4 linked regions of the Stegostoma tigrinum genome follow. The protein of the gene in region 1 binds, or shares a complex with, the protein of each later gene. Links are inferred from orthologs where the notes say so. Each region holds a gene or a part of one and is shown in the gene's direction. Other genes may lie near its edges.

What was found.
Region 2: the proteins of parp1 (region 1) and smyd2a are in contact, whole or in part, in a crystal structure (PDB 9CKC), measured with the Homo sapiens proteins. The link is inferred for Stegostoma tigrinum from reciprocal best matches to the Homo sapiens genes PARP1 and SMYD2. Residues at the interface, in NP_001609.2 of Homo sapiens: Thr526, Leu527, Lys528, Gly529, Gly530, Ala531; in NP_064582.2 of Homo sapiens: Thr105, Leu108, Val179, Asn180, Cys181, Asn182, Gly183, Phe184, Thr185, Glu187, Leu191, Ser196, Ala203, Met205, Tyr240, Ile241, Asp242, Ser257, Tyr258, Asn380.
Region 3: the proteins of parp1 (region 1) and histone PARylation factor 1 are in contact, whole or in part, in a crystal structure (PDB 6M3I), measured with the Homo sapiens proteins. The link is inferred for Stegostoma tigrinum from reciprocal best matches to the Homo sapiens genes PARP1 and HPF1. Residues at the interface, in NP_001609.2 of Homo sapiens: Thr825, His826, Asn827, Ala828, Arg865, Met890, Lys903, Asn906, Tyr907, His909, Ser911, Gln912, Gly913, His934, Lys953, Ser983, Leu984, Leu985, Tyr986, Glu988, Thr1011, Ser1012, Leu1013, Trp1014; in NP_060337.2 of Homo sapiens: Asn234, Val236, Asp261, Arg264, Leu265, Phe268, Gln272, Glu273, Thr276, Phe277, Gln279, Phe280, Asn282, Asp283, Glu284, Cys285, Tyr287, Tyr304, Lys307, Val308, Gln311, Leu315, Leu319.
Region 4: the proteins of parp1 (region 1) and timeless are in contact, whole or in part, in a crystal structure (PDB 4XHU), measured with the Homo sapiens proteins. The link is inferred for Stegostoma tigrinum from reciprocal best matches to the Homo sapiens genes PARP1 and TIMELESS. Residues at the interface, in NP_001609.2 of Homo sapiens: Gln846, Lys849, Pro850, Phe851, Leu854, Arg878, Ile879, Ala880, Pro882, Asn928, Lys940, Lys943, Gly944, His946, Tyr992, Asp993, Ile994, Ala995, Gln996; in NP_003911.2 of Homo sapiens: Asp1036, Gln1040, Pro1043, Val1045, Pro1046, Leu1047, Thr1048, Glu1049, Glu1052, Glu1053, Glu1056, Ser1074, Gly1075, Gln1076, Glu1077, Thr1078, Phe1079, Arg1081.

What each region holds. Positions count from the first base shown.
Region 1 is NC_081357.1:10,326,774-10,334,523, forward strand, and holds the start of parp1 (poly [ADP-ribose] polymerase 1), read left to right. Parts: upstream 1-4,669; 5' UTR 4,670-4,701; coding exon 4,702-4,815; intron 4,816-7,750. UniProt on the Homo sapiens protein: Poly-ADP-ribosyltransferase that mediates poly-ADP-ribosylation of proteins and plays a key role in DNA repair.
Region 2 is NC_081362.1:56,733,063-56,740,921, forward strand, and holds the start of smyd2a (N-lysine methyltransferase SMYD2-A), read left to right. Parts: upstream 1-4,816; 5' UTR 4,817-5,031; coding exon 5,032-5,180; intron 5,181-7,859. UniProt on the Homo sapiens protein: Protein-lysine N-methyltransferase that methylates both histones and non-histone proteins, including p53/TP53 and RB1. Specifically trimethylates histone H3 'Lys-4' (H3K4me3) in vivo. The activity requires interaction with HSP90alpha.
Region 3 is NC_081356.1:127,097,617-127,104,686, forward strand, and holds the start of histone PARylation factor 1, read left to right. Parts: upstream 1-3,990; 5' UTR 3,991-4,444; coding exon 4,445-4,489; intron 4,490-5,593; coding exon 5,594-5,759; intron 5,760-7,070. UniProt on the Homo sapiens protein: Cofactor for serine ADP-ribosylation that confers serine specificity on PARP1 and PARP2 and plays a key role in DNA damage response.
Region 4 is NC_081404.1:19,204,483-19,212,129, reverse strand, and holds the start of timeless (protein timeless homolog), read left to right. Parts: upstream 1-4,606; 5' UTR 4,607-4,751; intron 4,752-7,233; 5' UTR 7,234-7,255; coding exon 7,256-7,340; intron 7,341-7,647. UniProt on the Homo sapiens protein: Plays an important role in the control of DNA replication, maintenance of replication fork stability, maintenance of genome stability throughout normal DNA replication, DNA repair and in the regulation of the circadian clock.

The sequences.
Region 1 (7,750 bases):
CTCAAGCTCTAGATTAGTTCCGGGTGAGATGCTACAGTTTCGTGTTCAGACAACACAGCAGAAACATTCACCACAGGAAGGAGAGAAGATCTCCCTCCCTCTCCGGTCAGTGAGTGAAAAAGTAAAAAAAAATTTCTGAGCAGTTTGTTACTCTATCTCTATTTGTCACTCTGCAAATTATCTTCTTAGTGTCATAGAGAAGTGCAGCATGGATATAGACCGCTTGGTCCATGTTTGACCACCCCAACTTGGTCTGATTCAGAGATAACAAGAACTGCAGATGCCGGGTACAGAGACAACACATTGTGCACCTGGAGGAACACAGCAGGCCAGGCAGCATCAGAGGAGCAGGAAGGCTGACGTTTTGGTCAGGACTCTTCTTCAGACATGGGGGCGGGGGAGGGGGCTCTGAAATAAATAAAGATAGGAGGGGTGGGGCTGGGAAAGGTAGGTGGGATGGCGATAACTGAGTGCCCAGAGGGTTGCAGTGGGAGGGAGGTCCACTGAGATCTTTCCGGAGGGAGGAGGACAATTTCTTGAAGGTGGGCATTTCGAGAAGAGTGCCCATGTGCCCCTGACAATCACACTGTGCCCACGTATCCCTATCAATCACACTGCCCACGAGCCTCTGTCAATCACACCGTGCCCACGTGCCCTGTCAATCACACTGTGCCCACATGCCCCATCAATCACACTGTGCCCATGTGGCCCTGTCAATCGCACTGTGCCCACGTGCCCCGTCAATCACACTGTGCCCATGTGCCCCTGACAATCACACTGTGCCCATGTACCCCTGACAATCACACAGTGCCCACGTGCCCCTGTCAATCGCACTGTGCCCATGTGCCCCTGACAATCACACTGTGCCCATGTACCCCTGACAAACACACTATGCCCACGTGTCCCTGTCAATCACACTGTGCCCATGTGCCCCTGACAATCACACTGTGCCCATGTGTCCCTGTCAATCACACCGTGCCCATGTGTCACTGTCAATCACACCGTGCCCCCGTGCCCCTGTCAATCACACTGTGCCCACATGCCCCTGTCAATCACACTGTGCCCATGTGCCCCGTAAATCACACTGTGCCCACATGTCCCTGTCAATCACACTGTGCCCACATGTCCCTGTCAATCACACTGTGCCCATGTGTCACTGTCAATCACACCGTGCCCACGTGCCCCTGTCAATCACACTGTGCCCACGTGCCCCTGTCAATCACACTGTGCCCATGCGCCCCGTCAATCACACTGTGCCCACGTGTCCCTGTCAATCACCCTGTACCCACGTGCCCCTGTCAATCACACTGTGCCCATATGTCCCTGTCAATCACACTGTGCCCACGTGTCCCTGTCAATCACACTGTGCCCATGTGCCCCTGACAATCACACTGTGCCCACGTGTCCCTGTCAATCACACTGTGCCCACATCAATCATTATGTGCCCAAGTGTCTCTGTCAGTCATTATGTGCCCACGTGTCCCTGTCAATCACACTGTGCCCATGTGCCCCTGACAATCACCCTGTGCCCATAACAATCACACTGTGCCCTCGTGCCATGTCAATCACACAGTGCCCATGTGCCCTGCCAATCACACCGTGCCCACGTGCCCCTGAGAATCACACTGTACCCCCGTGCCCCTGTCAATCACACTGTGCCCACGTGCCACTGACAATCACACCGTGCCCACGTGTCCCTGTCAATCACAGCATGCCCACATGTCCCTGTCAATCACAGCATGCCCATGTGCCCCTGTCAATCACACTGTGCCCATGTGTCACTGTCAATCACACTGTGCCCATGTGCCCCTGTCAATCACACTGTGCCCATGTGCCCATAACAATCACACTGTGCCCATGTGTCCCTGTCAATCACACTGTGCCCATGTGCCCCTAACAATCACACTGTGCCCACGTGCCCCTGTCAATCACACTGTGCCCACGTGTCCCTGTCAATCACACTGTGGCCACGTCAATCATTATGTGCCCATGTATCTCTGTCAGTCATTATGTGCCCTGTCAATCACACTGTGCCCATGTGCCCATAACAATCACACTGTGCCCACGTGCCCCTGACAATCACACTGTGCCCCCATGCCCCGTCAATCACACTGTGCCCCGTGCCCTGTCAATCACACCGTGCCCCCGTGTCCCTGTCAATCACACTGCGCCCCCGTGCCCCTGTCAATCACACTGTGCCCACGTGCCCCTGAGAATCACACAGTGCCCACATGTCCCTGTCAATCACACTGTGCCCACGTGCCACTGTCAATCACACTGTGCCCATGTGCCCCTAACAATCACACTGTGCCCCCGTGTCCCTGTCAATCACACTGTGCCCACGTCAATCATTATGTGCCCATGTGTCTGTCAGTCATTATGTGCCCTGTCAATCACACTGTGCCCATGTGCTCCTGACAATCACCCTGTGCCCATAACAATCACACCATGCCCACGTGCCCCTGACAATCACCCTATGCCCACGTGCCCTGTCAATCACACAGTGCCCACGTGCCCCTGAGAATCACACTGTGCCCCCGTGCCCTGTCAATCACACTGTGCCCCCGTGTCCCTGTCAATCACACTGTGCCCACGTATCACTGTCAATCACCCTGTGCCCACATGCCCCTGTCAATCACCCTGTGCCCACATGTCCCTGTCAATCACACTGTGCCCACGTATCCCTGTCAATCACCCTGTGCCCCCATGCCCGTCAATCACACTGTGCCCACGTGCCCCTGTCAATCACACTGCACCCACGTGCCCCTGTCAATCACACTGTGCCCACGTGGCCCTGTCAATCACCCTGTGCCCCGTGCCCTGTCAATCACACTGTGCCCCCGTGTCCCTGTCAATCACACTGTGCCCACGTGCCCCTGTCAATCACACTGTGCCCCAGTCAATCACACTGTGCCCATGTGCCCTATCAATCACCCTGTGCCCACATGCTCCTGTCAATCACCCTGTGCCCACGTGGCCCTGTCAATCACCCTGTGCCCACATGCCCCTGTCAATCACCCTGTGCCCACGTGGCCCTGTCAATCACCCTGTGCCCCGTGCCCTGTTAATCACCCTGTGCCCACGTATCCCTGTCAATCACCCTGTGCCCCGTGCCCTGTCAATCACACTGTGCCCACATGCCCCTGTCAATCACACTGTGCCCCCGTGCCCTGTCAATCACACTGTGCCCACGTGCCCTGTCAATCACACTGTGCCCACATGCCCCTGTCAATCACACTGTGCCCACGTGTCCCTGAGAATCACACTGTGCCCCCGTGCCCCGTCAATCACACTGTGCCCACGTGCCCCTGTCAATCACACCGTGCCCCCGTGTCCCTGTCAATCACACTGCGCTCCCGTGTCCCTGTCAATCACACTGTGCCCACATGTCCCTGTCAATCACACTGTGCCCACGTGCCACTGTCAATCACACTGTGCCCATGTGCCCCTAACAATCACACTGTGCCCCCGTGTCCCTGTCAATCATACTGTGCCCACATGTCCCTGTCAATCACACTGTGCCCACGTGCCACTGTCAATCACACTGTGCCCATGTGCCCCTAACAATCACACTGTGCCCCCGTGTCCCTGTCAATGATACTGTGCCCACGTGTCCCTGTCAATCACACTGTGCCCACGTCAATCATTATGTGCCCATGTGTCTGTCAGTCATTATGTGCCCTGTCAATCACACTGTGCCCATGTGCTCCTGACAATCACCCTGTGCCCATAACAATCACACTGTGCCCACGTGCCCTGTCAATCACACTGTGCCCCCGTGTCCCTGTCAATCACACTGCACCCCTGTGCCCCTGTCAATCACCCTGTGCCCACGTGCCCCTGTCAATCACACTGTGCCCACGTGGCCCTGTCAATCACCCTGTGCCCCATGCCCTGTCAATCACACTGTGCCCCTGTGTCCCTGTCAATCACACTGTGCCCACGTGGCCCTGTCAATCACCCTGTGCCCTGTCAATCACCCTGTGCCCACGTGCCCCTGTCAATCACACTGTGCCCATGTGGCCCTGTCAATCACCCTGTGCCCCGTGCCCTGTCAATCACACTGTGCCCCCGTGCCCCTGTCAATCACCCTGTGCCCCGTGCCCTGTCAATCACACTGTGCCCTGTCAATCACCCTGTGCCCTGTCAATCACCCTGTGCCCACGTGCCCCTGTCAATCACACTGTGCCCCCGTGTCCCTGTCAATCACACTGTGCCCCCGTGCCCTGTCAATCACACTGTGCCCACATGCCCCTGTCAATCACCCCGTGCCCTGTCAATCACACTGTGCCCCCGTGTCCCTGTCAATCACACTGTGCCCCCGTGCCCTGTCAATCACACTGTGCCCACATGCCCCTGTCAATCACCCCGTGTCCCTGTCAATCACACTGTGCCCCCGTGTCCCTGTCAATCACACTGTGCCCCCGTGCCCTGTCAATCACACTGTGCCCACGTGTCCCTGTCAATCACACTGTGCCCACGTGGCCCTGTCAATCACCCTGTGCCCACGTGCCCCTGTCAATCACACTGTGCCCCCGTGCCCTGTCAATCACATTGTGCCCACGTACCCCTTCCCCCGTATCCCCGCCCCTCCCGTGTCAGTCCCGCCCCCGCAGGGCCCCGCCCCTTTCCCGCGCTCGCTGGGAGTGGGGTGCCCGCTGCTGCCTCCTGCAGGCGGGGCCGTGCAGCTGCTGCGTCGCCATGGCCGACGAGAAGCTCTTCAAGGCGGAGTATGCGAAGAGCGGGCGGGCGTCGTGCAAGAAATGCGGCGAAAGTATCGCCAAGGACTCGCTGCGGCTGGCCATCATGGTGCAGGTGAGCGATCGCTGGTCGGGACCGGCGAGAGTTTGGCCCCGGGCTGCTGACTGGCAGCGGGGATGTTCCCCCCGCCCCCCCCCCTTCAGCGTGCAGGCCTCGTGTTGTAGACCGGGGCGGCCGCAGGTTTTTTGTGGGCATGCATCCTGCTCCTTTTCAAAATGCATTATTTTTTATTCCGTTTCTGGTGATTCTGGGTTTTGTATCCGCCACCTCTTTGACCTTTCTGAGCTGCTGTGTTTTGCTGATGACTCACGCTGTAAGCCAGGCCTGCAACATTCATTGAAAATCATTGCAACTTCCATCCTCTTCAGAAGCCCCATTTTCAAAGTGACCCCCCCCCTCCCCCGTTGATTAAATATTAATTGCGAAAACCTCTTTTTTTTTCTTCCCCCAAATGCATTGCTAAAAATCCCAGTGATTATCTGCAGACGCATGCCCACCTTGTAGACTGAGCTCAGAGTGGTCGTCCTCTGGTGAAATCCTGCGTTTCGTTTTTTTTTATATATATATACACTTTTGAGACAGATTCTTTCACAGCAAAAGGCACGGTCAGAATCCGAGGGGAATTTTAAATCTTCAGAAATGCTGTTTGACCCACATAACTAACTGGATCAGCTGGGTCTTGTGGCTCAGACAATGCAAGTGGAAGGGGGGGTTGGGAATATTGCAGAGGACCACAAGCATGCTGTTGTAAGCCAAAAAAAACAGTGGAAGGTCTGAGAAGTGGAATCAAGACGTGCTCAGCAGGTCTGGAAGCATCTGTGGAGAGAGAAGCTACTCAGTTGGTGTGTGTGTGTGTGTGTGTGTGTGTGTGGTGTTTAACGTCACAGTTAAGTGTTTGATCAGAGCTAGGACACAAGAAGCAAGTTTTAAATGAGGGGCTGGGTGGAATGTCATGGGACGTAAGACAGGAAACACTAAGTGACCCATCTTTCAGTTGCTCAGAGCCGAAGAGGGTGATAATGGGACAGTAAAGAGAATCATGGACAGTTGTCTTCAGGAATCAAATCGAGTGGAGTGCGGAGCAAGGCTGATGCCTGGAAAGAAAACAGCGGGGAGAGAGAGACAGGATTTACATTCCAGGATTGTTGAAATCCATGTTGAATGTGGAAGACTGTAATGTGCCAATTTGCAGAGTGGAACATTGGCTGGCAGCAGGGCAGGGATGTCAGTTTGAGAGTAAGGTGGAGAACTAAAATAGCCACAGGAATCTCTGGGATAGTACGAACTGCTGATGCTGGAGTCTGAGATAACAAGGTGTGGAGCTGTATGAACACAGCAGGACAGGCAGCATCAGAGAAGCAGGAAAGCTGACGATTAGGGTGTGGAGAGAGAGATAATGGGAACTGCAGATGCTGGAGAATCTGAGATAACAGTGTGGAGCTGGATGAAAACAGCAGGCCAAGCTGCATCTTTTTCAGAAATGGGGGAGGGGGAGGGGACTCTGAAATAAATAGCGGGAGGAGGAAGTGATGATGGAAGGTGGATAGAGGAGCAGATAGGTGGAGAGGAGACAGACAGGTCAAGGAAGTGGGGATGGAGCCAGTGTACGTAAGGATTTGGGATGGGGGTTGGTCATTTGGGAGGGAGGGGCGGGCAGGTGGGAGGGAAACTCGGGCTCGCTCTCACAGACAAACAGTCTGTGAGAATGCAGTCTTTGCAGTGGAGGGGAGTATAACCAGGTCAGTGTGGGAGTTAGTGGTCTTACAATGAATGTTAGTCAGCAATCAGTCTCAGAAATAGAGACACAGGGGAAGGGAAGTGTTGAAGATGAACCATGTTGAAGTTGAGGGGGTGGTTTAGAAGTTGATGATATTTTCCAGTGCAGGGGTGTAAGCAGCAAACAGAGAACAATGCAGTCATTAACATGCGGATGAAGACTGGAGGGAGGAGGCTGGAGTGGTGAAACCAGAACAAGGAGAGCAGGAAGTCTCAGCAAAACCTATTGTTTGGAAGTAAGAATGAAGGCTGGCAAAATAATAGAAAGAATGTGATTCTAATTGGGTAGTGGGAGTCGGGTGCAGGAACACAGAGGCCAGGGGATACCTGCATGTGTTTACAGAACCTATAGGCAGTGGGATGAGCTGAAGAGCCCCTTTCTGTGCTGTGGATCTCTGTGACCCTTGAAAGTGGCATAGCAAGTTGAAAATGTGGCATTAAGAAGGCACGAGGGATTCTGTTGCAGACGCATTGTGTACAAAGTCAAGAAATGTGTGACGGGCCCTTCTGGAAGGTCGGTTTGACCTCGCTGCGAGTATAGTGTGCAGTTCTGGGCACCACACTTCAGGCAGAGCTGTTTGAGAGGATGCAGTAAAGATTCACGAGATGAGTTATGTCAATGGGTCAGAGAAAAGATCGACAGGGGGATTTGAGAGAGTTGGTAAAAATTGGGAACGAGTCTGAAATGAGTGAAAACCGAAAGAACTGCGGATTGGATTACCACCTTGAGTTCTTCTTGTACAGAATGCGTAGGCTGAATGGCCTCTTTCTGTGGTGTAACTGTTTTATATTGTGCTGAGAGGCATCAAAGTGGAACAGTGTCGGTCATTAAGGATATTGAGCCCCTTGTCATTGTGCATTCCTGCAGAGACAGCCTCCTGCCCCACGTAGGATGCAAACTTTTCTGAAACGAATGTTGAGTTTTTACTCTGCTGTTCACTCATGTTGCCACGTGTTTCCCACTGTGTGTGAGACAGAACATCCTTCAGGTCCTGATCCTCCCTCGCTAAACACATTGACAGTGTCAAGCCCCTTGAGAATCCAGTGTTGAGAGGATGTTTACCATCGTGGCAGAGTCTAAGCCCAGAGGGCACATTCTCAGAATAAAGGGGTGCCAATTTAAGATTGGGATGAGGAAGAATTTATTCTTGTAGAGCATTGAGAGTCTTTGGAAGTCCTTGCCACAGAGAGCTGTGGCAACAGAGTCCTTGTA
Region 2 (7,859 bases), on another chromosome or scaffold:
CTCCCACCTCAAGCTGCACCTCCATTCCCGACCTCCTAACCTTATCCCGAACCCTTGACCTGTCCATCCTCCCCGGACTGATCTAACCCCTCCCGCCCTCCCCACCTTCACTCACCTTTACTGGCTCCATCCCCGCCCCTTTAACTTGTCTGTCTCCTCTCCACCTGTCTTCTCCTCTATCCATCTTCTCTCCGCCCCCTCTCTCCCTATTTATTTCAGAACCCTCTCCCCATGCCCCCTTTCTGATGAAGGGTCTAGGCCCGAAACGTCAGCTTTTGTGCTCCTAAGACGCTGCTTGGCCTGCTGTGTTCATCCAGCCCCACACTTTGTTACTTAGGATCCTCCAGCATCTGCAGTTCCCATGATCTGCGATACAATGAGCAAGGGAGCTGCGCAGTTCAACAGGCCCTCCAACCAGTAGGTGGTGACAGTGAGGGATGGCAGCGAAAACAGTGAAATGTCCTCTCTCTGGGAAACAGGTTATTGTTGGAAAGTAGGCCTATGGGAAAAGTAGGAGTGCAAATAGACAAAGTAATCTGTAGTCTAAGTGATTCAAAGGTTTTCTTCAATATACATATGTTTCTTATTTATCATTAATTTCCATTTATCTTTGTAATGATCTGATGTCAGTGAAAGAAATAATCTTTGCTTCATGACATTTGAGCTTTCCAAATATTTGAATGCCTTGTTATATCTTCTCTCCCTGGTTGGAAGAGTCTAACAGAACACATTTTCTGTGCTACGAAATCCATGGTCATCAAACATCAAGCAATTTAGTCAGGATTTTCAGATATCTATGTTAAATTCATATGCCAGTCCTTCAGGCAATGGCTCAACCTTAACAGTAGTCTTCATGTTTAGGTAACAGATCCAAATGGTGCAGCGTTCCCACAATCTCACCATGTGAACCACATGGACGTGACATTCTGTTGGAAAGAAGGGAGAAAATGTGACAACAGCATGATCAGCCAGCGTGCAGACAGTTGTCCAAACTGGAAATGGAACAAGGCATTTGGTTTGGGATTTCCCCATGAACACATGGGTCCGTGGAAAGACACTAAGTCATTTTGTACAGCCTGGCATAATAAACAGTGGTCAAGTTCGGGGGCATGGATAGGGTAAATAGACAAGGTCTTTTCCCCAGGGTGCCAAAACTATTGGACAAAGGTTTAAGATGTGAGGGGAAGTATTTAAAAGGGACCTAAGGGACAACTTTTCACGCAGAGGGTGGTGTATGTATGGAACGAACTGCCAGAGGAAGTGATGTGGGCTGGTACAATTACAACATTTAAAAGGCATCTGGATGGGTATATGAAAAGGAATGGTTTGGAGAAATATCACTCAAATGCTGGAAAGTGGGCCTAGATTTTTTAGGATATTTGGTCAGCATGGATGAGCTGGACCGAAGGGTCTGTTTCCTTGCTGTTTATGACTCTAATTAGATTACATACCTATACTGCAGCTTAAGGCAGATACCAAGGGTTCAATACAGCAGAAAGCCTAAAGGAGTATATGAAATGCAGTTGGGAACTTTAAAAGGAAAATAGATCAGCTAGGAGAGCGCACGACAAAAGTAGAATACAGGAAAGCCCATTAAGGTTTTTTTAACATATAGAGAGGGCAAGAGAAAATCTAGTGAAACAGTAGGACCCATTGGGGACCATAAAGGTAATGTGATGACCCAAAAAGATGTGGACACAATCCTCAATGATTATTTTGTGTCAGTCATCGCAGTGGAAAAGGATAATGCAGGTATAGATATCAAAATGGAGGACTGTGAAATTGTAAAATAAAATACCCAAAATAAGATACAGAGGAAGCACTAATGGGTTTAGCAATCTTAAAAGTGGATAAATCGACAGTCCTTGTTTAGATGTGTCCCAGGAGACAAGAGAAAGGATATCAGGGTTCTGACAGTAATTTTCAAATCCTTTCTGACCACAGGTCGATGCCAGAGGATCAGAGGACTGCTAACATTGTCAGATTAAATAAAAACAAAGGCTGGACAGGATAGACCAGGAAATTACAGGCCAGTCAGTCCAACGTCAGTGGTGGAGGAATTATGAGAAAGAACTTTGAGGGACAGAATATTCAAACTTGGAGAGGCATGGATTAATCAGGGATAGTCAGCAAGGATTTGTTAAGGGGTCATGTTTGACAGATCGACAAAATGTTTGTAGGAGGTAACCAGGAGTGTTGATAAGAGCAGTGCATTTGACATGGTTTTCTTGTACTTTAGAAAGGCTTTTGATACGGTCCCTCACAGCAGAGAGACAAGTTAACTAATACCAAATAAAAACCAAAAGAACTGCAGATGTGGTAAATCAGGAACAAAAACAAAGTTGCTGGAAAAGCTCAGCAGGTCTGGCAGCATCTGTGGAGGAGAAAATAGAGTTAATGTTTCAGGTCCAGTGCCCCTTCCTCAGAACAACAGAGTGACAAGTAACTAATACCGCTTGGGATTTAAGGCAAAGTGATAGATCCATGCATTATGGTAATGCATTTTATGTGGTCTTCTTGGACATTAGTAAGGCTTTTGATAAGGCATTTTTGATGTGGTTTTTGAACTGGCAAATTGTATAAGAAAGTAAAAGTCATGGGATCCAAGGCAAACTAAGGCAAAATTGGATCTGAAATTTGGTGTGAGGCAGGAAACAGAGGGTGATGTTTCTGCAATTGTATTTGTGTTCCCAGAGGAATTCTGCAGTGCTGAGGCCCTTGCTGTTTGTGGTATACATGAGTGATTTTGACTTAAATGCAGGGGCTATGATCATCTGGAAACCAGCTCCAGTGCAACAACGTACAGGTTTAATTCAGGCACATGCCAGTGCTTGTTTGTAGCTTCCAGCAGAGAGGCAATCTATAATATTAAAATAAAGTTAATTTGGGTAAAATTTTCACAGAGGTTTAAATTGAACATAACATACAAATTTACAGGGCCTCCTGAAATGAAGGGAGTGTAATTTATGAGGCTCATTAAAATTCTGATGTATGGGCATTAATAAATACTTATCTTGAATGTTTTTTACATTGAACACAATTGCTGTCTGAGCCACAAATTGTACTCACAATTGCACACATTTTCAGGAGCTTATTTCCATTCAAATTTCCATCCAAACTTGTTTGCTTATTGCCAAATACAAAATCTCCCATGACTCAGTCCAATTAGGTAGCATTTTATGGCATTATTTTGTTTGCATTTATTGTAGTCCTTGATATATTTAAAGAAGGCAATCTAGTTACATTTTATTTGTGCAGCTGAAAACAAGTTTATCACAAAAAGCTAACAATTTTAATCAGAGTGTCAAGAGTGCCATCTGTGAGTGACATGGTATTAAGTATAATGAAAATTACTTTTGATAGAAACTATTTGGAACAATTTACCAGTTTTTAATATGTATTCATGGGATGTGCATGTCAATATCATGGACATAATTGAAAGAGTTCCTCAGAGTAGTGTCCTAAGCACAACCATCTTCAGCTGCTCCATCAATGACCTTCCCCCATCATAAGGTCAGAAGTGGGGATGTTTGCTGATGATTCCACAAAGTTCAATACTATTTACAACTCCTGATATGCTGAAGCAGTTCATGTCCATCTGCAACAAGAGCTGGACATTATCCAGGTCTGATTATCCACAGGCAGAAAAACTCACTGGACTGTTAACATTAATTGTGGCATAACACCTGCTGATCCAGGTGTGATCAGTTAACAAAATTAAACAGTAATCTTTCTTTAGTGTAGACAAATTGTGGGTTTTAGTCCAATTGCATGACCTAAGCATTGGAAATTTAAAATACTCTCAACGTGTTGAAAAACTTCTACTGTCTTCATCTCAAAGAAGCAAATTTTTTATGATGCTCCCTTTTTTGTAAAAAAAGTAATTTACTGCTTGTAAGAAGTGTTGTGGCAGAATTTGTTTTTTGAATGAGATATGGCCCAAACTGAACCCTTAGGTACATGTAAAATATCCCATGGCTCTGTTTTGAAAAAGGACAGGGAAATTCACCTTGCTATTCTGGTCAATACTTATCCCTACATTACAGAAGCAGATGATTCTGGTGGAGGTCTCAAGTCAGAGTTTGCTGTGCATAAAATGGCTGCTGCATTTCCTACTTTACCCCAGGCACTATACTTCCAAAACACTTCATTGGCTGTAAAGCACGTTGGGATGTGGTTTATGGAAGGTGTAAAACAAATGCAACCAGTACCCCCACCCCCAAACAACACCAACAGAATAAAATTGAACAGCGTGATCTTGGGGATACTGCCGGACCGGATGAACGCTAATACATTTCTTATTGTTTTAAAAACTGTTAAATGTACACATACTTGTTTTTTAATACAGCTCACTTTGTTTCTTTTACTCACCAAAACTGCCCCGATTTTAAAACTAGGTTTTGAATTTCTCTGAATACAAGGCGCAGAGCTGAATGTACACAGCAGGCCAAGCATCAGAGGAGCAGGAAAGCTGACGTTTCGGGTGTGGACCCTTCTTCAGAAAATGAAGGGCCTAGACCTCAAACGTCAGCTGTCCTGCTCCTCTGATGCTGCTTGGCCTGCTGTGTTTCATCCAGCTGCACATGTTGCTATCTCAGATTCTCCAGCATCGGCAGTTCCTACTACCTTTGGAATTTCTCAGTTTTTTTTATTGATTAAAAAAAAATACACATAGTTGTTTTCGACACAGCTCACTTCGTTCCTTTTAATACTCAAAAACTGCACCGATTAAAAACAAAACCTAGGGTTGGAATTTCTCAGAATAAGAGTTTGTGTAAATTCCCCTGAGGGTTACCAGGAGGGAACGGCTTGTTGGAATGAGGCGAGCGCTTGGACCCGGGAGGAGTAGGGAAGCAGACAACCCATGACTGCAGCAATGAGGAGGGAGCGCTCAGCCGATTCCATTTAAGTAGCTGCTGCCGGACGGAGTGGTGCGAGTGAGTGTTGCCGGCTATGGAGCTTGATCTCTGCGGAACACAGTGAAGCCGGGTCGGGCTCAGAGGAAGGCCTGGGCCGCTGCTGCTGGGTCCTATGGAGAGGTTCCTGAGCGAGGGTAAAGGACGGGGACTGCAGGCTCGCAAAGAGTTTGCGATCGGAGAGCTACTCTTCACATGCCCAGCCTACACTCATGTCCTGACTGTCAACGAACGGGGCAATCACTGCGAACTCTGCTTCGCTCGGTATGTGGGTTGTAATGAAGCCTCTTGCGCTGCAGCTTCTCGACTGTGAGCATTGTTTTTTTTCGCCTGCCTGAATAGCCGGCACGATCCCACTACTGCAGCGCTTTCATCTGGGTGCGACTCAGTGTGGAATCAGTACTGAGTTCCTCGCGTTGCTTGGAACATTTTTTTTTATTGTGAGTTCTTAACCAGAACTAAACAGGTTTTCCTCATAGATTCTGCAACTGGTGTGGAATCTGAGGGTTCATTTGAGGTTGAAAACTTGGAGAGAATCTGGGTGTGAAAAGAATGATATAATAAAGGTTTTAAAACTTTTGCAGCCAATTTAAATGCTTTATTTGAAGGGGAACTGCAGTTGTAATTCTGGATATTTGTGAGAAATGAGGATCTTGGGTTGCCTGAGTTCAAGAGGGATTTCCATAGTCAAAACGTTTGCAGCGGCAGGTGGTGACCAGCAGATATGGGTTTAAAGTAACCAGATCAGAAATGAGAATTTGAGATGTTCAGATCTGGAATGCACTAGTATTAGTGGTTAGTTTGAATAGTAATTTTCAAGAGAGTTGGTTTAATATGTGAAATGCAAAAAATTTGCAGGACCGTGAGGAAAGAGCAGGGAGTGAAACATTGCAAGATCTGGCACGTGCAGGCAGGATGGGCTGAATAGTCCTGATTCTATGGATTTTCTACTATTGATGTTAGCTGGACAAGCTTTTTATGTGTTGCCCTCTGGTGGCAGGAGCCTAATCCCATATTGGTGCAGCCATTTTGTACATGCAAGTTTTTTTTTGTTGTAGTTGTATTAAAGCTTGGTTTTTTTGTTTTTTTTGCCCCAACTACTGTTGACATTGAATCAGATAAAGAAAGTAAGCAAGCCCATGGGTATACTAACAAAGGATTGCTACAGCACAGAGGAGGTCTTTTGGTCCATTGTGCCCATGCCAGCTCTTTGAAAGAGCTTTTAAATTAGCTCAATTTGCCTGTATTTCTCTAGAACTGTGCAATATTCTCCCTTGGAGATTGATGTAATTCCATTTTGGAAGTTACCGTTGAATCTGCTTCCAACATCCTTTCAAGCAATGCATTTAAAGCTTTTTCTTAAATACTGTTTATGCCACCCTTTTTTGATTTTTCATTTTTGCTGTTAAATTTAAGATCTCTGCTGTGTTGTTACTGACACTTCACTTAATTTACTCTACATCCCTTTATAGTTGAGAATACTTTCATTAAATCTCCCGTTGAATGGCTCTGCTTTAAGGGAAACAGCTTCTCTCATGTGCCCGGTAACTGCATTTCTGCAACTCTGGTACTATTCTAGTATGTCTTCTGCCTTTTCTCCAAGGTGACATTATTCAGTCGAGAATGTGGTGATCTGAAACTGGTTCAGCACCACTGTTTCTTTCTTAAATGAAAATTAAACAGAACTTTTTTTTTGTAATCTACACTTCTGTTTATAAAGCCTATAATCTCCTGTGCTTTTTTAACAACCCCATTCTTCTTAATAATATGTCTTGCAACTTAACAGAGAAGTAAAAAGTATCTGTCATGTTTGCTCGTTTCACTAGTATAGCCTCCTTTACTCAGCTAGTATCTTCCCACTGTTTGAGTTACACATCATCCACCAAGTTTGAAACTGTGTATGCGCCATTTGCACATATCTATGTATGAAAGTATAGTCACACTGACATCTACTCACTCAATTCCTCGCATTTTTAATTTTTGCTTTTAAATTTTAAACTGTTTTTCTAATCAACCTGCTCAGATATGTTAGTTAGTATGCTCCTCGAGCAAGTGGAACTTGAATCTGAGCCTCCTAGCCCACACTACCACTGCACCACAAGAAAAAATGATTTACCAATCTGCTTTCCCATAGTCAGTTTTATGTCCCGGTTGTCACAGCTCATTTAATCCCTTGCATTTCATTTTTCTAATAAGCTTATTGTGTGTTACTTCTTCAAACACCTGTTGAAAATCCAAAGCACAATATCAACCTCAGAACCCTCAGGATTTCTCATAGTACGTTTTTCAAAGAACATGTTTGATTAGATTGACTGCATTTAACAAACCCATGCTGGCTGGCGCTATTGAACCATATATTTTCAAGCAAAAGTTTATTTTTGTCTTCAATTCTATATCTAAAACGGCTTCCACTACTAACACTGGATTGACTGGCCTATAATAGCAGTGTTTACACTCTGCTTTGCTTTGCTTTGAATATGAGAGCACAATTTTGCAAACCTCTGGCCTTTTCTCCTTATTAAAAGATTTTGGTTTGTGGCGAGAACTTTCCTCAGACATCTTGTGCTATCCATCCAGACAGATGACTTTTCTTCTTTGGGGATGACATTTTAGATGCCTCCACTTTATCTATCCAGTTTCTCCATATCTCCTTTTTGTTATTACATTGGCAGCTTCATCTGCAGTGCAAAACAGATACAACATGTTCACTTTAATACTGCTGCCATACCCTCTGCCTGCAGAAGAATTGTACATAATTGATCTGACTCTTTCCCCAAAACATGTAATTGATAAAGTGGAATCAAAGTCTTTTGGGAGTTCATTTTTACATTGCCTATAAATCTGTCCCAGTACCTTCTCTCCACTACCTCCATCACGTCATCTCTTCTGTTCTTTATACATTCGGTTTAGTTGTTATTAAATAATTCAACTGAAATTTGTAGT
Region 3 (7,070 bases), on another chromosome or scaffold:
AATATAGCGAAAGGTCCTAGGAAAGTGCAATTCTTTTGTAGGACATGATGAACACCAGCAAAGGCACCTCCCCTGCCAATCCCTGGGCCCTATCCGAGAAGGAAAAAGAGATAATCTCACAACTGCAAAGGTCTGAGAGAGGTTCCCGTCAACGTCCTCACAAGGTTTCTCACACTCACTCCGTCAGTGCAGCTTGTCGGTCTTTGTTAAAACAGACCACTGGATCTTTAACCCGACCTCCTGTGGGAAGATCCACACAGGATTAGCTGGGCACCCTTCAGGATGTGTGCCAGAAGATGGTGGGTACCCTTCTTCAGGAGAAAGCACCATTCTCTCGTCAACAGGACATAGAGCAAAACGAGTCACAGTGACGCTAGATTTCCCCAGGAGATACCACGGTGATAAAGAGCTGCTCAATTCCAAAAGCAAATGTTTCACTGCTGATCCATTTTTTGTTTTTTGGTTATTGGGATGTGGGTGTCACTTATTGGGCCAGTATTTATTACCCATCCCTAATTACCACAGGGCATTAAGAATCAAGCACATTTCTGTGGGCCTGGAATCATGTGAAGCTGAGACCAGGAAAAGACAACAATTTCCTCCTCTGAAGGGCAGGGGTGAATCAGAGGGGTTTTAACTACCATTGACAATGATGTCACAGGACCCAGGAAGCCTGGGTTCAAATCCCACCTGCTCCAGAGGTGTGTAATACATCTATGAGCTAGAGGACTTCGGTGAACCGGGAAAGATTCAAAAGGGACTTGAGGGGCAACGTTTTCATGCAGAGCGTGGTGTGTGTATAGAATGAGCTGCCAGAGGAGGTGATGGAGGCTGGTCCATTTACAGCATTTAAACAGCATCGATGGGATCTGAATAGGAAGAGTTTAGCGGATTATGAGCCAAATGCTGGCAAATGGGACTAAATTAGTTTAGAATATCCTGTTGGCATGGATGTGTTGGACAGAAGAGTCTGTCTGCATGCTGTGCATCTCTGTACAGGTTGATTAGAAAGACATCCTTTATTTAGAGATTTTCATTGAATTCGAAAATTCATCATCAGCCATTGGTGGGATTCAAATCCATGTGGCCTAGAATGTTGGTTTTGGGTTCTAGATTTCTCTTCCAGTGACATTCATAGATGTTTGATTACTCTAGGTCAGGTCAGCACAAGGAGGGGGAATGTGTTGGGTATTCTAAAAGGCATTAGGGTGGACGAGTCCCCAGGTCCAGATGGGATCTATCCCAAGTTACTGAGGGAAGCGGGAGAGAATATAGTTGGATATCTTTGCATCCTTGAGCACAGGTGAGGTCCCGGAGGACTGGAGAATTGCTAATGTTGTCCCCTTGTTTAAGAAGGGTAGCAAGGATAATCCAGGCAATTGTAGACCGGTGAGCCTAACGTCAGTGGTGGGGAAACTGCTGGAGAAGATACTGAGGGATAGAATCTATTCCCATTTGGAAGAAAATGGGCTTATTAGTGGTAGGCAGCATGGTTATGTGCAGGGAAGGTCATGTCTTACCAACTTGATAGAATTCTTTGAGGAAGTGACAAAGTTGATAGATATGTGAAGGGCTTCATTAAGGCATTTGATAAGGTTCCCCGTGGTAGGCTGATGGAGAAAGTGAAGTCGCATGGGGTCCATGCTGTACTAGCTAGATGGATAGAGAACTGACTGGGCAACAGGAGACAGAGAAGTTTCTCAAAATGGAGAACTGTGTCCAGTGGTGTTCCACAGGGATCCATGTTGGGACCAACATTGTGTGTGATATACGTAAATGATCTGGAGAAAGGTATAGTTAGTCTGATTAGCAAGTTTGCAGATGACACTAAGATTGGTGGAGTAGCAGGTAGTGAAGGGGACTGTTGGAGAATGCAGCAAAATATAATCAGATTGGAGAGTTGGGCAGAGAAATAGCAGATGGAGTTCAATCCAGGCAAATACGACTCCCCTCTCCACCTATCTTCTTTTCTCTCCATCTTCGGTCCGCCTCCCCCTCTCTCCCTATTTATTCCAGAACCCTCACCCCATCCCCCTCTCTGATGAAGGGTCTAGGCCTGAAACGTCAGCTTTTGTGCTCCTGAGATGCTGCTGGGCCTGCTGTGTTCATCCAGCCTCACATTTTATTATCTTAAATACGAGGTGATGCATTTTGGAAGATCCAATTCAAGAGCAAACGATACAGTAAATGGAAAAGCCCTGGGGAAAATTGACGGGCAAAGAGATCTGGGTGTTCAGGTCCATTGTTCCCTGAAGGTGGCAATGCAGGTCAATAGGGCATACAGCATGCTTACATTCATCAGACAGGATATTGAGTACAAGAGTTGGCAGGTCATGTTACAGTTGTATAGGACTTTGGGTCAGCCACATTTGGAATACTGCATACAGTTCTGGTCGCCACATTACCATAAGGATGTGGATGCTTTGGAGAGGGTGCAGAGGAGGTTCACCAAGATGTTGCCTGGTATGGACGGCGCTAGCTATAAAGAAAGGTTGAGTAAATTAGGATTATTTTCATTAGAAAGTCAGAGATTGAGGGGGGACCTGATTGAGGTCTACAAAATCATGAGGGGTATAGACAGGGTGGATGGCAAGAAGCTTTTTCCCAGAGTGGGGGACTCAATTACTAGGGGTCATGAGTTCAAAGTGAGAGGAGGGAAGTTTAAGGGAGATATGCGTGGGAAGTTCTTTACTCAGAGGGTGGTGGGTGCCTGGAACACGTTGCCAGCAGAGGTGGTAGATGGAGACACAATACTGTAATTAGATTAGATTCCCTACAGTGTGGAAACAGGCCCTTCGGCCCAACAAGTCCACACCGCCCCTTGGAGCATCCCACCCAGACCCATCCTCCTATAACACACACACCCATGAACACTACGGGCAATTTAGCATGGCCGATTCACCTAGCCTGCACATCTTTGGACTGTGGGAGGAAACCGGAGCACCCGGAGAAAACCCACGCAGACACAGGAAGAATGTGCAAACTCCACACAGACAGTTAACCGAGGCTGGAATCGAACCCGGTTCCCTGGCGCTGTGAGACTGCAGAGCCAACCACTGAGCCACAGTGCCGCCCAACATCTTTTAGGATGTATCTGGACAGGTACATGGATGGGCAGGGAGCAAAGGGATACAGATCCTTGGAAAATAGGCAACAGGTTTACACGGAAGATCTGGATCGGTGTAGGTTTGAAGGGCCTGTTCCTGTGCTGTAATTTTCTTTGTTCTTTCATTCCCACTACACCAGCAGCTCCCCAGGCAAGAATGGAACTTCATTCCCAGTTTGTCTGTGGCTCATACCAAATCTGAGACAGGAAGATGCCTCAGTAAACGGCAGAGGGGAGCTGACTGCGTCCCTCAGGCGGAGTCGATCAGTTGACTGACTGTGCCCCTGTGGCAGAGGAGAGGAGCTGACTGTGTCCCTCTGGCGGAGGCGGAGATCTGCACCTCCCAGTCGCAAACCATTTCCACTCCCCCTCCCATTCTTTAGATGACATGTCCATCATGGGCCTCCTGCAGTGCCACAATGATGCCACCTGAAGGTTGCAGGAACAGCAGCTCATATTCCGCTTGGGAACTCTACAGCCCAATGGTATCAATGTGGACTTCACCAGTTTCAAAATCTCCCCTTCCCCTACTGCATCCCAAAACCAGCCCAGTTCGTCCCCTCCCCCCACTGCACCACACAACCAGCCCAGCTCTTCCCCTCCACCCACTGCATCCCAAAACCAGTCCAACCTGTCTCTGCCTCCCTAACCTGTTCTTCCTCTCACCCATCCCTTCCTCCCACCCCAAGCCGCACCTCCATCTCCTACCTACTAACCTCATCCCACCTCCTTGACCTGTCCATCTTTCCTGGACTGACCTATCCCCTCCCTACCTCCCCACCTATACTCTCCTCTCCACCTATCTTCTTTACTCTCCATCTTCGGTCCGCCTCCCCCTCTCTCCCTATTTATTCCAGTTCCCTCTCCCCATCCCCCTCTCTGATGAAGGGTCTAGGCCCGAAACGTCAGCTTTTGTGCTCCTGAGATGCTGCTGGGCCTGCTGTGTTCATCCAGCCTCACATTTTATTAACTGACTATGTCCCTCTGGTGGAGGTGGCTGATTGACTGACTTTGTCCCTCTGGTGGAGGGGGGAGCTGACTGTGTCCCTGTCACGGAGGACGGCAGCTGAATGTTTCCCTCTGGCGGAGGCGGTCAGTTGTCTGACTGTGTACCTAGGCGGAGGAGAGGAGCTGACTGTGGCCCTGTGTCGGAGGCGGGGAATTGATTGACTGTGTCCCTCTGGCGGAGGCAGGCCGTTGACTGACTGCGGCCCTGTGGCGGAGGCGGAGAGGTGACCGTGTCCCAGTGGCGGAGGCGGGGAGCTGACTGGTTTGGGGGTGTGTTCAGTGTGTCTCCGTCTTTATTCTGCCGCCCGGGTAAAGTCGCGTTTGCTGAATATGGCGGGACGCGGGAAGAGGAAGGCTGCATTCAGAAGCTCCGAGGTAAATGGATGAGGATAGTCTGGTGAATACGGGATTGTTTTCAGCGTGATACACTGTAGCTCCGGAAGTAACAATGTGTCCCAGGGATTAAAGAGCAGCAACATTGTTTCACTAAATGTTACTAACAATGTCTTTACTAAAGTGTTAGTAAGTCTCTCATTGCAAAGATATTAGATGCGACAATGGAGCAGATTCTTTGCTCCAGTGCTGTTTTGGATTAAGTGAGGCATTGACCCCATAAGCCTTACCTGCACCATTTATTTTCAGATAAATGTGTGATATTTTTGACAAAAGGAAAGGTATTGAGTGTCTCGCCTATATCAGAGGGAAGGGTGGAACAAGACTTCTGTCAACTAAAATGACGACAAAGAACTGCGGGAGTTGGAAACAAACAAAACCAGCCTCAACACAGCTGGTCTGGCAGCATCTGTGGAGAGAGAGAAAACAAGAGTTAACGTTTTGAGTCACTTCTGTCAATTGTATGTTTCTGTGAAAGGCCACGTGTTTTTTCAGTATTTTTTTACAAAATATGTGCAGAAACCTCCACTACCCAGGATACAGGGAGTAGACTTATGGGGAACTATTAAAAACAGCAAATTCCCCTCCAAATCACCAGCAACAAAGGTGAAAACGTTATACAGTGTCTCTTTTGTTCATTTGTTATTCAGCACAATGTGGGCACCACTGACAGGAACAGCATTTGTTGACCATTCCTAATTGCCCTTGAACTGAGTGACCTACTAGACCATCTCAAAAGGCAGGGTTAGAAAATAAAAGAATGAGAGGTGACCTTATTGAAACATTCAAGATTCTCAGGGACTTGGCAGTATAAGCGCAGAAAGATTGTTCTCCCATATGAGAGAGGCTTGGGCCAGAGGGCATCTGTAAGTGATCCCACTTATTGACTGTAGTTTTGCCTTTGATGCCACAATTCCAAACAAACTAATCCCCAAACTCTTAGAGAACTAGGTCTCTGCTTCCCCCCTCTGTAACTGACTCCATCTACACTTCCTGCTGCCTCGGGAGCTGTTTTAGTGTTTTGGGAATGTTGCAGTGTTTACTGTTTGAATTATTTCAGTTTTCTTTGTGATTCATTTACCTCAGTCTAAGAACCCGGTAGCTGAAGATGGTAAGAAGAACCGAGGAGAGAATTCCAGCATTCCTGAGGAACTGCGACAAGAAGTTCGGGATCTCTACAAGCTACAGATGCCAGAAGATTTTTATCACTTCTGGGAATTCTGTGAGAAGCAAGATCCAGAGAATCCATGCGGTACGCAACCCCTGACCCCGTCTCGATTAGTGTTCTCAATGCAGAAACCAGTCAGGCATCTGTGGCTAGATGAGTGGGAGAGGTTTAGGGAGAGAAGATCTCCTGAAGATCCCCCTTCCCACTTGCTCCAGTACTTGTACCCTTAAAAACCATCAGCCCAGTCCTAATTCATGAAGTTCCTTATGGCCTGGTTTGGTTGAGAAGAGAAGTAGTTATCTGTGGTACACATGGAGTCAGAGGTTAGCCATGTGGATACCGGCCCTACAGCCCATCTTGCCCATGCCACACAGTTTCCACAATTAATCTAGTCCCATTTGCCTGCATTTGGTCCATATCCCTCCATACTTATCCCATCCATGTACCTGCCCTCTGGACTCTTTTGTTTTTAGTCTCTCCCCTCTGACCTTAAACTGTGGAGGCCATTCTACCCCTGATGTCTGTGCTGGATCTTTGGAAAAGTGATTTTGCTTATTCCCATACCCCAACCTTGACCCTGTAGGTTCCTCATCCTCCAGCATCTGTCCATCTTCCTTCAAAGATCGTGAAGTAGCAGAATTCTATCTCTGCAGAAGCTGCCAGACCTGCAGAGCTTTTCCAGCAATTTCTATTTTAGAACATAGAACATAGAACAGTACAGCACAGAACAGGCCCTTCAGCCCACAATGTTGTGCCGACCATTGATCCTCATGTATGCACCCTCAAATTTCTGTGACCATATACATGTCCAGCAGTCTCTTAAATGACCCCAATGACCTTGCTTCCACAACTGCTGCTGGCAACGCATTCCATGCTCTCACAACTCTCTGCGTAAAGAACCTGCCTCTGACATCCCCTCTATACTTTCCACCAACCAGCTTAAAACTATGACCCCTCGTGCTAGCCATTTCTGCCCTGGGAAATAGTCTCTGGCTATCAACTCTATCTATGCCTCTCATTATCTTGTATACCTCAATTAGGTCCCCTCTCCTCCTCCTTTTCTCCAATGAAGAGAGACCGAGCTCAGTCAACCTCTCTTCATAAGATAAGCCCTCCAGTCCAGGCAGCATCCTGGTAAACCTCCTCTGAACCCTCTCCAAAGCATCCACATCTTTCCTATAATAGGGCGCCCAGAACTGGACGCAGTATTCCAAGTGCGGTCTAACCAAAGTTTTATAGAGCTGCAACAAGATCTCACGACTCTTAAACTCAATCCCCCTGTTAATGAAAGCCAAAACACCATATGCTTTCTTAACAACCCTGTCCACTTGGGTGGCCATTTTAAGGGATCTATGTATCTGCACACCAAGATCCCTCTGTTCCTCCACGCTGCCA
Region 4 (7,647 bases), on another chromosome or scaffold:
GAAAGAAATCAGAGTTAATGTTTTGGGTCCAGTGACACTTCATCAGAAAAGTCCTGCGTCCTAACTCTCACTGATCCGGTGTGTCTATCATCACGCTGCTTACTGCCCAACATTTTTTTTTGTTTTTCAAAAGATTCTCCTTGTTCATGAATCACTTTTATGGTGAGCACCTGCTCTTCCCCACCCCCCACCCCCCACCCCCAAAACACACTCCATCTCTAACATCCTATAATTCCCTATTTCTGAAACTAGGACTGAAGGGTTTGAGTTACAGGGAGACATTAAATAAGCTGGGGCTTCTTTCCCTGTATTGCAGGAGGCTGAGGGGTAATCTGGTAGTGGGTTTATAAAATGATGAGGGGCATGGATAGGGTGAATAGTCAATGTCATTCTCCCCCCAGGTGTAGGGGATTCCAAAACTAGAGGGGCATAGGTTTAAGATGAGAGGGGAAAGATTTGAAAAGAACCTAATGGGTAACTTCTTCACACAGGGGGTGGAGCATGTATGGAACAAGCTGCCAGAGGAACTGGTGAAAGTCATTACAATTGCAACATTTAAAAGGCATCTCGATAGGTATATGAATAAAAAGTGTTGAGGGATATGGGCCAAATGCTGGCAAATGGGACTAGGTCAGATTTGAATGTATTGTCAGTGTGGACAGCTTTGGCTGAAGGGTCTATTTAAAGCTGTACAACTTTTATGACTATGACTATTATTATCTCCTACGACCTCCTATCTCTGTAATCTCCCCCATCCCTCCTTATATGTCACCGCCACCTACACCCTTCCCTGTCAACACCCTTCCCTGTCACCTTCTCCAGCCCCTAAAACCATCTCAAGATCTTTGCTCTGGTCCAATTTTGGACTCTTCAGCATCCACAATTTTAATATCCACATCATAGGCAGCTGACGGAGCAGGTTTTGGAATTCCTTCCCCAAATCTCTTGTGTCTTGCTTTCTTTCATTCATCCCTTTTTAAGATGCTCCTTTAAAGGCTACATTCTTGATTTAAGCTTATGGTTACTTGTTCCTCATACTGACTTTGGTGGCTCGGGTTAAATTTTGTCTCATGTCCCTGTGGAGTACCTTGGAACATTTACATTGCACCCCAATATAATTAAATGCAAATTATTGACGTGAGAAGGTGAATACTGGAATGACCCAGTGGCTAAACGCACAACTGAGATTTAGGGAGCTGTGTGGCTACATCGGACTTCAGTATCTTTGGGTAAAGATGGAGTAAATATCAGCTAAAGTTGTCCTGATGTTTATTGCTACCCACCTTTGCTAGCAAACATTGATGTGTGCAGATGTTTGGTGAGGACCAAATTGGATTTGATTGTGATGTTCTTTTCGGGTGACATACCATCAGTACGTTCATACATAAAGAATGGGCAGTTGGGGTAAAATACAAGAGGGGTTGCCATTCTCGGGCTGAGGTTTACTCCTCCTCTTCCTCCAGGGTACTTTGTAAAACCTAGCACTTTGAAGTTTTTGGTTGCCTGAACCTAATCTATGTGACTCGGTGTCAAATTTTGTTTCATCACTCCTGGTGAGTCATTTTGTTTTTACTATTTTAACAATGCTATATAAATTCAAATTATTGTTGCACTTTTCACCCTTCCAATGTAATAGATGTAAAATAATAGGCCAAGGCAAATAGAAGCAGGTGGGTTGTTAATACTGTGCGGTAAATAGGACATCAGATACTGAGTGTCATAGAATGTAAGAAATAGGAGTGGGGGTATAGGTCAAAGGGGGTATAGGTCAAATGGCACTTTAGCCCGCTTTACTAGTCAGTAAGATCCTGACGAACCACCTGTCTCAACTAATTTCCTGTCAGTTTTCCATATCATTAGGTTGCCTGAGAGGTCAAAATCTGTCTACTTCCGCTTGAATATACCCAACAATTGAGCTCTGCAATGGACACTTCCATTGATTCACAACCTTTTGAAAGAAGAAATGTCTTCTCATCCCAGATTAAACAATTAATTCATATTGTGAGTGTAGCCCATTTTCCCCAACCAACAGAAACAATCAGTGTCAACTCTCAAGTCTCTCCAGAATCTCTCTGTTTCAGTGCTATTGACGTTCATTCTTCTAAACTCTAGACAGCATAGGCCCAATTTACTCAGCCTCTTATGGGACAACGCTGTCACCCCCATGTGCTCAGCAATGGGGATAAGATTGGGGAGTGATACCAGGTAAAGTGTTCCTGTGGAGAGCCTGTGCAGACAATACTGATTGGCCTCCTGCATTGTAACTATTATAAGGTACTCCAGATGTGTTCTCTCCAAAGCCCAATACAATTGTGGCAAAGTGACTTTTTATTCTTGTACCTGCCTACTAATTTTGTGTTCGTTTGTACATGCACACCTATCTCTGAACATTAACATTTAAAATCACACCTATTTTTAAAACATCTTCTATACTGAATACTAAAGTGAACAAAATTACACTTACCCCCACATTAATCTTGATCTATTTCCCCCCCCCCCCCCACCCTTGTTGCCCAATTACTTAATCTTTCCACAGTGTTGGTGTCTTCACCGCACTCCTCCTGACCTAGCTTTCTACTGTAAGAAAATTTAGTCGTATTAGTTTGTCTCTTTGTCTAAGACATTAATATAAATTGTAAATAGTTGAGGCTGCATCACTGATATTACATTTGCGGAATTCCACTAATTCTACATGTAGCTGCCAACTTGAAAATGCCCTGTTTAATCCCTATTTTCTGCTTCCTGTCTGTCAACTGATGCTCTTCATGCTAATCTATTACCTTGATCTCCATGAGCTCTTATCTTGCATGTTGACTTTTTCTGCAGCACCTTTATTCAAGTATGTTCTATCTTCTGACTCTCTGTTATGTACCTTTATAACATACAACTTCAAAAGACTTCAATAAATGTTCAAATATGACTTCTTTTTCATAAAACAATTTTGATCCAACTGGTCATGCTACAATTTTCTAAATGTGTTAAGACTTCCTCAACAATAGATTCCAGCGTTTTACTGATGACTGACTTCAGGATAACTGGCCAGTATTTCTCTCTCTATCTCTCTCTTGCCTTTCTCAAAGAGCAGTTACATTTTGCCAACTTCTGATTTGCTAGAATCATTTTAGAAACCAGTATAGTTTGGAAAATCCTAACCATATAATCATTTTCTTTGCATCCACTTCATTCAAAATCCTAGGATGTTCACTGATACCATTGAATTTTTTTTAAAGATTTTAAATGAAGGGCAGGAGGAACTTTTTGTGCATACAGTTGTGAGACTGGAATTAATTTGCAGTCATAAAAGCAAAAAACCACAGATACTGGAAATCTGAAATTTAAAAAAAATTCTGAACAGACTCAGCAGGTTTGCCAGCATCTGTGGGAGGAAAAAGTTAGTTTTGAATTGGGTATGACTGTTCTTTGGAACTATTCTGAAGAAGAGTCATGTTGAATTAGGATAGTGGTTAAGGCAGAAACAATGCCAGTATTTCAGATTAGACTTGATGGGTGTATGAAGGCAAAAAGGTTGAAAAGGATATGGAAATGTTATATAATTGTGTTTGGTTCATGTGGTGGGTTAATGTTGACCCAAGCTGGTGGAATGAAATGGACCTCTCGTGCATTGTTGCATGAAATGTAGAAAAATATGAAACAATGTTAGGTGCAGTGATCCTTCTACCTGTTATGGCAATTAGTTCCATGAATGTTTTTCAAAGTTTCTTGGGGTGACATCACACTCTAAGTGTAGGAGCTGTCCTCCTGACAACCTGGAGTATGATGTAAACAAAACGATTTGAACACTTAACAATCGAGGAAATGGATCTTTCATGGAAGAAAAGCTGAAACACTTTTAAAATTAAAGGCTTCTGTTCAATGGGTAACCAAAAGATCATTTAATTCATCGTGAACAGAACTTGTGATTTTTAATGCAATAGGTAATAAGCTTTTTAGCAGTTTTCTTTCATGGTTTTATTGAGTGAATTTTACAAAGTGTGCAAGATGTGCAGTTTCTACTTTGGTATGCCTGTATGTCGGGACTGCTGTGTGACAAGTGAACGTTCCCAGAAGCAAAACGTGAACGTCAAATTCCTGGCGGTTGTATTTCCCTTTCCCGGGGGGGGGAAAAGTATATCGTCACGAACAGGATTCGAACCTGTGCGGGGAGACCCCATTGGATTTCGAGTCCAACGCCTTAACCACTCGGCCACCGTGACTCATACTAAAGCAATTTAAAGGGGTTTTAATACAAGATTGGAGTGGGCTCACAGTTATTCGGACGAGACAGTGTTATTCTACTGTTCTAATATGCTTTGTTCTGAAATCGCGTATAGTAAAACGTTCTCTGACGATCACCTATTCGGGGAAATCCGGAATATCTGACACAAAGTTAATTTAGCGTTGCAGTTCTCCGCCTGGACTGTTTTAAATGCGCCTCGAGAGGGGTGGCCTGAATCAAGACACATATCTGTTACATTTAGTACGCAGCCCTCTCTAAAATTTACCAAGGAAAGGATAATATTTTAAAGAACAAATACTAATAATACTTTTTCTTGTGTGTTCGCAGGTTGCATATTTCTGCTTTTTGTTTGTTTCTCAGGTCTTCACCCCCCTGCCGCCTCCCAGTTGGGCGGTTCCGGGGTTGGCGGGAATTCTTGGAGCGCGGAATGTTCAGATTTTAGAAGGACAATCGAGTTGAAATATTTCAAGCATTTCAGTCATAAGCACTTGGAAATTGGCTTGCAAAACCTAAGGTGAGCTTGTCTCTTTTATTCCTCCGTTTCAAATCGTTCGGTTCCCCCCAATTTAAATCTTTTCAGTCAAAAACGGGATGATTTTGGAGCAGACGGAGGTCATTCTGCTTGATCGTGCCTGTACCGGCAAATTCACCATTGCGATTTGTCGGTGTCGGGTTGTAAACGTATCCACAAATATTCCTTTTTGGATCCGAAGTTCTTTTAGCCAATTTGATCTCTTGACCATCATCTATTCCTTCCCCCTCCCCCTTCCGTCCGTCCCATATTTTTCTTATTGAAGCAGTACCTCATTTTACTCGATTTTGTGTTTTATATGGCTGCATGACTTTAAAACAAATTTCGAGCCTGAATCTCGCTAATCCATTGAAATCTTAAATTATGGAAAGCTCAGCGTGTCCGTAGAAATCAGCTGACATTTCTTTCTGACACTCCGATGAATGAAGGGCTCTGGGTTTGGGGGAAGATGTCATTTACGTTGGAAAATGCTTCTACAGTTTAAGTGAAACTTCCAAGCACTTCTGCCCCATATTTATGTTTCTCCATGTTGCTAACTCTCTTTCACATATAATTGAAAATTAAGACTTGCTTTCTCCACATTTTTTAGCGGACTCAACAACCATTTACAAGATGCACAAAAATGTAGGTCTTTGATGTCATAGGTTCCCCTGCTTTGTATGGGAAGTGTTGTCACTGGTGCTGTCACATCAGTAACACTCTCCATAAAAAATTGCTTTTTTCCCCTTTTAAATCTTGTGCACTTCCTAACTTTACTGTAGACAACAATACAACTTTTCAAGCCTTACCCAATACAGTTTGCACTGCCAATCGTCCTCAAACTACAGTAGGACTGTTGAGGATAATAGAGAGAGGGAGGATGTTCTGTTAAATTAGCTCATGAGACATTTACTTGAAGGTCCAATAAATAATTGTGTTGCTTGGTATTGCACTAAATGGTTCCAGGTTCAAATTTTAATTACCTAGAATTATCTTGCAACGATCTCTGCCTATAAATTCTTTGACTGTGTGCTTCCCTCCACTTTACCTGACGAAGGAGGAGCGCTCCGAAAGTTTGCAATTTTACATAAACCTGTTGGACTATAACCTGGTATTGTGTGGCTTATGACAATTCTTCTGATCTAATTTTAGAAATTTGGAGTGTTACATTTGGCATCAATGGCAGGGGAATGTGGGCCTTAGGTACAATAACAATAAAAAAAATATTAAAGGTATTACCAATTGATCACAAGTGGAATGGAAAAGATTGAAACTCCAGTCATCCTGCTGACCTCCTGGGGTTGGGCTTGCTTTTTCTTTGGGATGGGAAATGTATTTTTAACTCCACAAGAAGAGATGAGATTTGTTTTCCTCTGAGGGCTGAGAGCCTTGGAATCCTTAGTGTAGGAGCAAGGCTCTTCAAGTCCACACTGACTCTCTGGAGAGCATCCCACCTTATTCCTGTAACTCTGCATTTTCCATGGCTTATCTACACATCCCTGGACATTATGGGTAATTTAATATAGCCACTCCAACTAACCCGCATGACTTTGGACTGTGGGAGGAAACCAGAGCATCCTCATGCAGACACAGGGAGAATGTGCAAACTCCATTCACTCAGTCACTGAAGGTTGGAATTATACCAGTGTCCCTGGCAATGTGAGGTAGCCATGCTAAGGACTGAGCCACCCTTTGGGGTCTTTGAAGTACTCTTCCTCAGTAGTGGAGGCAGAGTCTATGAATACTATTAAGACTAACAAGGGAGTTAAAAGTTAGCATGTTTGACAGGAAGGTGGAGTTGAGGACAAAATCAGACCAACCATGATCATGTTGAATGGCAGTGCAGGCTTGAAGGGCCAAATGGCCTACTCCCCATTCGTATGTTCATAAGACCTCAAGATGTCTACCAGTCCCTCTTTTCAAGGATGCACTAGGCAACTTTTGCCAATCCTGTTAGTCTCAAGAAACTGATGGGTCACTTGTCCAGCATCCTGTTTTGCCATGTCTCTAGTAATGTCAGTGGTGGCGGCACTGTATTTTTCTATATTCCACAGCAGCATGATTAAGACCAGAAATTCTTAGCAACCATTTTGCTATTTTCTGCTATTACCTGAAACTGGACAGCAAATGCAAGCAGCACTTGGCAAGTGTGGTTGTATTTTAAACAGAAATGGAGTTATCATATAGATTGATGACCATTGAAATGTGCAATGGTAGGAGTGTGGGAGTAGCACAACTTTTTGTCCTTTTTTTGCACCGATGTATCTATTTGATTTGTATCTTCCATCCTTTTATAACATCACTTCATTTGCAGTGTACTTTTAAGCAGATGACAAAATAATTCTTCCACACTCTGTTTTACAACTGGAGCAATTACACCCTTTTTTCTCGCTCTCTCTCTCTCTTCTTTTACCCACACCACCACCCCCCCCCCCCACCCCCCCGCCCTTCCTTTGTTTGTCCTATGTCTCGACTGCTTTTGAAGAGTGCACTGTGTGCGTCTGAACATGATGAACTGTGAACTATTAGCAACATGCAGTGCCTTGGGATACCTGGAAGTGGACAACTATCACAAAGAGCCTGATTGTTTAGGTGAGTTGTTTCAAGCCTGTACTCTTAGTCATGCTTTAAATCCTGAGACCTGATTCTTAAAACTATATGAAAGCTGTATCTCACAATTGACAGGGTTTTCTGGCAGTCATCATCCATAAACTTAGGGGGAAACTGGTGACACAGTAGTATTGTCATTGGACCAGTAATCCAGAGTTCAAATCCTGCCAATTAATTTTAAAAGGACTGAAATTAAACAAACAAACTAGGACAATGAAAACTATGAAATCATTTTTGATTTGTTCACCGATGTCCTTTAGGGAAAAATCTGCCATTCACACCTGGTCTA